Xenopus tropicalis: one gene and its partner. Each later gene encodes a partner of the first gene's protein in a complex. Links are inferred from orthologs where the notes say so. Each region holds a gene or a part of one and is shown in the gene's direction. Other genes may lie near its edges.

Region 1 (3,819 bases):
AAATTCTGCCTTTTCATGATGTTTAATGTAAATAATCTGGTTTGAAACAGTTCCCTGTTCCCCTGCTGATCTGGCTGACTACTTTGAGACTGAAATAAAATGTAACAGTAGTCGCCTGCCTTCAGCCTGTATCCTCACAATCCCACAATCCCCTGCACACATAGTGTCAATGAGGAAAGGAACATCCCAGTGCAATGCATTGTGGGTTATGTAGTTCCTGCATGCTGTCTGTAAGCTGTGGAGAAGCTGTTACAATTTGTAACATCAATGTTTTAGTCCCCCCTCCCCTGCCAGGATTTCAAATGACGCGGAAAGCGAAAAACTGTTTTGCAGCTGGATTTCAGCATATACAAATAGTATTTATTCAGACTTTTTGAAGGAACAGATTACAGTGATAGGGATATTAGGGGTTTCTGTGTTGTGTCCTTTAACAAATCTTAGTTCCGAAGCCAGAGTTACCCTTTAAAAGAGATAGATACATCTATATGCCACTTCTGCATGGGATTGAAGTGGTATAAAGGGTATCTCCTTTACCCACTGTGCTCTACAGAATCCTTCCCAGACTTGGATTTTAAAGGGCTTGCTGGTTGGATATTGCCAGATTTGGCACGCGCACAGCTAATGGCATGATCAGCCAGTTCCTTTATGCTTTGGAAAGTCGCATGAATGCCTTCATTCATAGGGGCAGAGTAAAAATATCCAAAAAGGCTTACTTGATGGCAACATAGGAGCATATGAACAGCGATTGGTTACTGATATGAAATTGCCAGAATACAGTTTGCAGACCCGCTGTAGTTATTGTTCCTTTCTGTCCGTACTTGAAACGGAGACCTTTTCAAATGAATAAACAAATATCTTTTAGCTGGTTCTTTTTTCAGGACAAGTTATTTCCTGCCATTTTAGCTCTTTGCATAAAACTGTCAGTGCCCAATTATCTTGATTCCTGTTTATTTTCCTCTTCAGGTGTTCAATGACCCAATCCATGGCCACATTGAGTTGCACCCACTGCTAGTCCGTATCATTGACACCCCTGAGTTCCAGCGCCTGAGATACATCAAACAGCTCGGTGGATCCTATTATGTCTTCCCTGGGGCTTCTCACAACAGATTCGAGCACTCCATTGGGTATAGTAATGATTAACTCTCTTATCCTTTTATACAATATTTTACACCTTTGGGGAAAATAAGGGCATATTTCTGCCTTCCCTTTACCAACATTAGGCATATTTACTATTTTCCACGCTAATGTTTGTGTGAGAACCAAGAGTGGAACTATATGCACTGAAGTTAGAGCAGTGGAGCCTTTGGTTGAGAAACAATGTAGGTCACTTAAGCTTTTCATTAATAACCCAGAAATGAACTGGAAAGGTGCTTCACGGTTACAGGTAGTACTTATTTGGACAACATCATTAAAATTCTTTGCAGGGTTTTCTGCCAGCGTGTCTCTGGACAAATGCTTCTATTCGCATCTATCACTTGTTTCCTAACAGCAGGGGTTTCCAATATGGCTGCCCCTTACCCAGGGGGTCTCCATTGTGTTCCTGTCTGTAGGAGGTTGTGCAAGTCCCTACGCAAAGACTTTGTGTGCCTTTAAAAGTATTTGAGGTTCCTCATTATGGTTTACTGTTATTTTTGTTTCCTAACTGCAACATGATGCTATAATAGTGTTTCACTTCCTGAGTGCTTAGCAGCTGGCCAAAGAGAGATAAGGAATAGGGAAACCGTAACCAGAATGAAACAGTAGTTATCTGTCTTAATAGATTGGGAGCCTGGATAACTCCTTTGCTGTTCCCAAGATACAGTATGTGTAGTCTTTGGTAGATTATTATTAACATTTATTTATAAAGCGTATTCTGCAGCGCTGTACAATAAGTGGGTTTCATACATTGGAAATACAGAGTAACATATAAAGCAATCAATAACCAATACAAGAGGTGAAGAGAGCCCTGCCCAAAAGAGCTTACACTCTATAATGCTGAGAGAATGATTGCCACACTGTTCTGCCCCTTATCCGGAAAGCCATTATCCAGAAAGTTCCGAAATACGGTAAGGCTATCTCCCATAGACTCCATTATAAGCAAATAAGTTTAATTTTTAAAAATGATTCCCTTTTCTGTGTAATAATAAAACAGTACCTGTACTTGATCCCAACTAAGATATAATTACCCCTTATTGGGGGCAGAACAGCCCTATTGGGTTTATTTAATGGTTAAATGATTCCCTTTTCTCTGTAATAATAAAACAGTACCTGTACTTGATCCCAACTAAGATATAATTACCCCTTATTGGGGGCAGAACAGCCCTATTGGGTTTATTTCATGGTTAAATGATTCCCTTTTCTCTGTAATAATAAAACAGTACCTGTACTTGATCCCAACTAAGATATAATTAATCCTTATTTGAGGCAAAACAAGCCTATTGGGTTTATTCAATATTAAAATGATTTTTAGCAGACTTAAGTTATGGAGATCCAATTTACAGAATGATCCCTTATCCAGAAAACCCCAGGTCCCGAGCATTCTGGATAACAGGTCCCATACCTGTATGTGCTTTTTGCTGCCATGAACAATCTCTTTATGACCACGTTGGGTGCTTTTTCCATAAGAACTTTTGGAGAAGGCTACTGGCAAATTAAACCAAATGCTCTTGTGTTGTTAATCAATTCCGTGGAACCATCTTTATTATTTCTTGATTTACTTTACAGAGTGGGATACCTGGCTGGATGTCTTGTTCAGGCATTGCACGAGAGACAACCAGAGCTTCAGATTAACCACAGGGACATGCTTTGTGTTCAGATAGCCGGACTTTGTCACGACCTGGGTAAATATCAGTGCAAACAGTTGACACAATGGTATTTATGACCATTGCTTTTTTGTTGTCGGCAAATTCATACCCTTTTTTATTTTTAAACAAATCATGACAATTCTCAAGTGTATTGCAATTGTATTTTTCTCTAACAGTCGTCTGTGGGACACAGGGACCATGGGGTATAGTAGGTACCAGCAGGAGGCAGGACACTAGAGTAGGAAGAAGAGAGCTAACCCCTCCTCCCTGCTGCTATACCCCCCAGTACTTCCTGCCTTCGCCAGTTTTTTTCTAGTGTCCCACAAGGAGACAGGATCATCATCTCTCTCTTCAAGTATTTCTTCGGCCAGATTCAATCTGGCAACAGGTCTCCAACAGGAGCCACTCTATTCAGGCTTCCCCCTACGTGGGAATAATTTAAGGACGCTGGGGCACGTAAGTTTTTACTGAACAGCCCCGCAGATACCCTGCCTCTGAACACAGAGTGCAGAAGCTGCCCAGCGTTTCCTAAGTGCCATGGCCCCTATCCAGCTTTAAAATTGCCTTTAACTTAGTAGCCAGGCTCCCTGCAGGCTACCAGCCCGACCAACCCCCCCCCCCTATTTTCTTCCACTATGCCTTCTCCATTTTTAGCCATGCTCCCAGCGCTGCCCCTTAGCCTGGTTCCCATATCCCCCCTGCTCAGCTTTGCCTGTCTGTGCCCTGCCTCTGCCTCCAACCATGCTTCTCTGCCTATTACCTTACAAGCTACGGCATCCATGCGACTCTACCGTTCCTTCGATTCACTTGCGTTCCACCATGCGTTCCACCTATGCGTTCCACCTATGCGTTCCACTTCCTGCTCGCCGCGTGACGTCAGCTACTTCGCGCCATTCTTCGCGCGCTTCTCTTCACTGCGCTCACTCTCTCCTTCCGGATCGCATGGCCATTCTCCGCTCTCCATCCTGAATAGAGCAAGCAAAAAGGCAGTTCTCCGGCACAGACTCTGGCTGAAGGGGATCACAGGGACCACGGT
Region 2 (4,281 bases), on another chromosome or scaffold:
CATAACTGTTCACTTAGTTTACTTTTGATCCTTATCAGGGAGGATAGATTTAAAAGCAAAGAAAAGTAGTGTTCTGGCTATGTTAGACATCTGCTCACTCCAGCCTTTATACATGCACATTTTTGGTTAACTATATTGAAAATATTTTTTTATTTTGCAAAGCCTACTTACCGAGTTTCATTTTTACAGTGAACCATTTCTTTAATGACCCCAGGTGGCAACCCTATTTCACCCCAATTACATATTATGCAGTCATAAAGCAGTGGCCCCAATCACATACTATCAGGGGTGCAACTGCATTGAGCAGAGTGGAAAAACTCACCTCAGGTGAAACGCGGGGGGTGGCAATAAGCCTCCTGGTAATTACTGGAAATTTGATTTATAAGAAGCAGGGCCGCTGCTGGCCAAATGGGTCACTAAGCAGAAATGTACTTTTGTGCCCCCTCCCCCAAATATTACGGAAGTAAAAATAAAATAATAAAAAAAAACACCTACTATAGGGGCCCCACACACAGTGCCCCCATAGACAATGCCCCCATAGTAAGTGCCCCCATAGATTGATTAAACTATCTGGGACAGCGGGATGCGCTATAAAAACCGGCGGGACAGTGTTGGGGGGTATGTTATAATATATAGAAATGTTTTTTTGAACAGCTGGGATGGTGCCCCCCTGGGAGTTGGTGCCCTATGCAGACTGAGTACTCTGCTTATAAGGAGCGGCGGCCCTGATAAGAAGAAATTCTGTCTCATCTAGTGCAGAGTTCTATTGCGCTCTCTGCGCTAGCAATACGGCCCCCCCAACTAAAAAAAACAGCGTGAAGAGGAGGGTGACTTCCCCAGGGCTGCACTAGGGACTGAAAAGCCCCTGCATATTATGCATTAGCCCCAAAGTAGCCCCCGGCATTTCATGTACACAGAGACCCAAACAGCCCCCCCCAGCCCAATAAATAGTGACTGTCTATGGCACCTTACAGCAGCCCCTCTGGCATTTGCCTGAACCCACAGATTGCCAGCCCAGGCCTACTAAGTCCCAACAAGAGATGACACAGTGGTACCAATATTAGTAAAGACGCCCCTACCAATCGCTTTTTGATACAGTGGCCCCAACAATTAATGCCATAGTGACCCCAAGTCTCAAAGGGTTGTTTGAAATTTTAGGGAGTAGGGAGTAAGTTCGTGTGCGGTAGAAGGAAGAGACAAGAGGTGTATTGTGGCAATGAGAAAGCCTGACAGGCAGAAAAAGAGAAAATGTGACAGCTGTATGAGGGCGGGGGCGCTGGGGAGACGAACCAGCGAAGGGAAAGTCATAAAGGGGAGACCTTGGAGAGAGGCGTGAGGGGGTGGAGCTAATAAGATATGTTGGCGCTGTTTTTGCTCGTCGTAGAACGTCCTAAACTGGCCGCCGTAGTTTCTTTGTAAACTACACTACCCATAATGCCACTCCGCTCTGTAGAAGAGGGAAAAGCGAGCGCGCAAGGTGGTGACGTGTAAAGTGAGCGCCGCCCAAGCGGCTGTAGTGAGGGGAGAACGTGAGAGCCAGGGACAGGAGGCGAAACGTAGGGGCCGGAGTGGGGGACAGCGCTGCAGGGAAGCAAGGAGCGAAACGAGGGAGAGGCCGAGAGGGACGGGCACGGAAGGACAAAGAAAGGGACCCTGAGTGCAGGACGCGAGTGAGAAGGACTCGGGACACCGACTGGTACAGAGTCGGGGAGAACAACCGACATACCGGTTACAGAAGTAAGTGGATATTTGGCGGATACATGCCTTATCAGAGAGGGGAGGCCTGACGCGGGGGCTGAGGTGCAGCAGGAGTGGGGCAGCGGCAGCCGCCGGGTCTGTGCGGGGAACTGCTCGGGCGCCAAGTGGTGACAGTGACAGCTAACGGGGCTGGCAGCACGGCCGGTCCTGTGTGGGGAAACTTTTTCCCTCAGGAGGCCCAAGTATAGAAGGGAGTTTCGAACGTTAGACTGTCACTGTAAGCAGCTACATACACATGTTCTGTAACTAACTTCTGCTACATTGGTTTAACAATCGCTAACAGTAGCGCAAAAAGGAACAGACAGTTGCAGGTTTCTATGGCAACTGATAGAAGTATTTAAATGTCTGTATGATTTGTTGCTTAGAATTGCAATTTCTTTCCTTAAGAAACATTGTCTATTTGGGTTTACATCCCATTTATTAACTCTTTGCTATTGTGACAAGGCCATTTTTGAGTTTGGGGATCCCATTTTTGTTCTGACTTATAGGTTAAGGAACCTTACACTGTACTGCAGCCAGAAGCCCTCTGGCATTTGGTGACCTGTAACTTGCATCCCACCTAAGGGATCCTGACAGTCGGAGTCAACCATGGAAGACTCATCGGCAGGGCAGCTATGAACTCCATTCATTTTTTTATTTACATGGGGGCCACTTGATCTCTAGTTCCTTCTCTGGGCATAGGTGGGCTTTGAATAGACAAGCCAGTAAGATGAAAAGCAATGGTGCTGGGAAAAGCTAGAAAGGTAAACAATCCAGGTATGAAGATATGTAGATGGGGATGTCCATCTGCTGTTGTGACCTGCAGCTCCCTGGGGCATGTTGGTAAAATGTAGTCGGGCAGATGGCAAGGATACATTTTGATATTGCTGGTTCCGAATAATAATGGTGAAGAAGGGAAATCCTTAACTTGTGGCTTTTATAATGAATGAGTTATGTTTTTGAATGACTTCTAGGGATGCCAGGTGCTGTAATTTAACAAAAGTTATTGTGGGCTTAGCTGCTTATGAGGATTGTAGCTCAGCAACAGTATGAGAACAGCGCAGCACTCTTTCAAACTCAACAGCCATTTCACTCCACTTTGCTTTGGAGGGGGGGGGGGCAGTGTGGTTTCCTTGGGCTAATGCACCCTGAGCACCCACGAGCTGGATTGTCAGTCTGTGTCACACAGGCAGATGCAGTGCTTCTGGGTGCAGGCACAGTTAGAATAGTTTTCAAGCCTACTGACGGATTGTCTGTGGGGCCTTACCCTAAGGGCTGGTATGATGAGCCTATTAATGATTTGACAGGGACACAATACTCTCTATAATATACAACTAAAAAACTCAAGGATGCAGTTTGTGTGATGAACAGTATATGCAACATCTATCAGAACACTGGTGCAAGACCAGAAAGGGAGCATTTAAAGGACAACTAAACCCTAAAAATGAATAAGGCTAGAAATGCATTTTATATAATAAACTGACTGCACTAGCTAAAACTTTCAGCATCTCTATAGTTGTAATGATACAGGTCTTTACAGTTGTCACGGGAGCTCCCCATCTTGGATTCTGTCTGGGATAGTGCACATGCTCAGTGGCCTCTGAGAAGCCAAGATTAGGGGTTGTCACAAATTATCAAGCAGAAAATGAGACTGGCCTGTCATATAAACTGATGCTACAGGGCTGATGATAAAATCCTGATGCTAATTGCACTGGTTTCAGAGCTTCCATGTTATGTGAATCTGAATGAATTACTTATCATTTATATTCTATATATACAGTATATAGTGAGTGGGCCCCTAAGCTCAGTAAATGAAAGCAGCACAGAACATGTGCAGGGAATCGGCAGAAAAGAAGATGGGGGGGCTACTGGGGGCATCTTTGGGGGCACAGATCTTCCATACTAAAGGGCTGTGGTTGCCGTGAAAAAAATGCATAACATTTCTAGCCTATTTCTTAAGTTTGGCTTTAGTGCTACTTTAAAGGAGAAGGAAAGTCATTTTGGCATTTTACTGCCAATACATTCACCACATTAGTGCCACCTATAACAATATATTTATTCTGAAAAAAGCATTACCGTACCGAGTAAAGAGCCCTAGAAACTCCCTCCGTTTGGCTGCTTGGGTAGCAGGAGAAGGGAGAGAGCTGTGAAGACTCCCAGGAATGATGAATTTTTCTGAGAGAGGAAGTCAGATACCAAAGTACATGTATACACAAATGAAGACAAGAAATCCTGTGTTTCTTTTGATAGAGGACTCAGTGCAGCTTTTCTGTGAGTGCTTATGGCTGTATTTACATAGACCTTGCTGATAAAGCTTACTTAGTTTTTGCCTTTCCTTCTCCTTTAAGGAGTCTGAGTTTTCTCAAAATGTGCTTAGGGGAGCTCTCTCTTTAACCAGTCTTTAGTTCCCCTTTAATTGGTAGATTTAATTTGGCCATGTTGGCACTGGAAGTCTTTTAATAGCTTAGAAGAGCGGGTATCCTGAACAGCTTACTGAGAAGTATTTAAACATAAGTACTCAACTGGTCAGCAAAATTTTGCTTA

The links.
Region 2: the proteins of samhd1 (region 1) and dcaf1 are in contact, whole or in part, in a crystal structure (PDB 4CC9), measured with the Homo sapiens proteins. The link is inferred for Xenopus tropicalis from reciprocal best matches to the Homo sapiens genes SAMHD1 and DCAF1. Residues at the interface, in NP_056289.2 of Homo sapiens: Ser616, Arg617, Val618, Gln619, Lys622; in NP_001336097.1 of Homo sapiens: Asn1090, Glu1091, Asp1092, Thr1114, Gln1116, Asn1132.

What each region holds. Positions count from the first base shown.
Region 1 is NC_030686.2:42,463,624-42,467,442, forward strand, and holds part of samhd1 (deoxynucleoside triphosphate triphosphohydrolase SAMHD1), read left to right. Parts: intron 1-963; coding exon 964-1,124; intron 1,125-2,703; coding exon 2,704-2,819; intron 2,820-3,819.
Region 2 is NC_030680.2:127,300,143-127,304,423, forward strand, and holds the start of dcaf1 (DDB1- and CUL4-associated factor 1), read left to right. Parts: upstream 1-1,394; 5' UTR 1,395-1,737; intron 1,738-4,281. UniProt on the Homo sapiens protein: Acts both as a substrate recognition component of E3 ubiquitin-protein ligase complexes and as an atypical serine/threonine-protein kinase, playing key roles in various processes such as cell cycle, telomerase regulation and histone modification.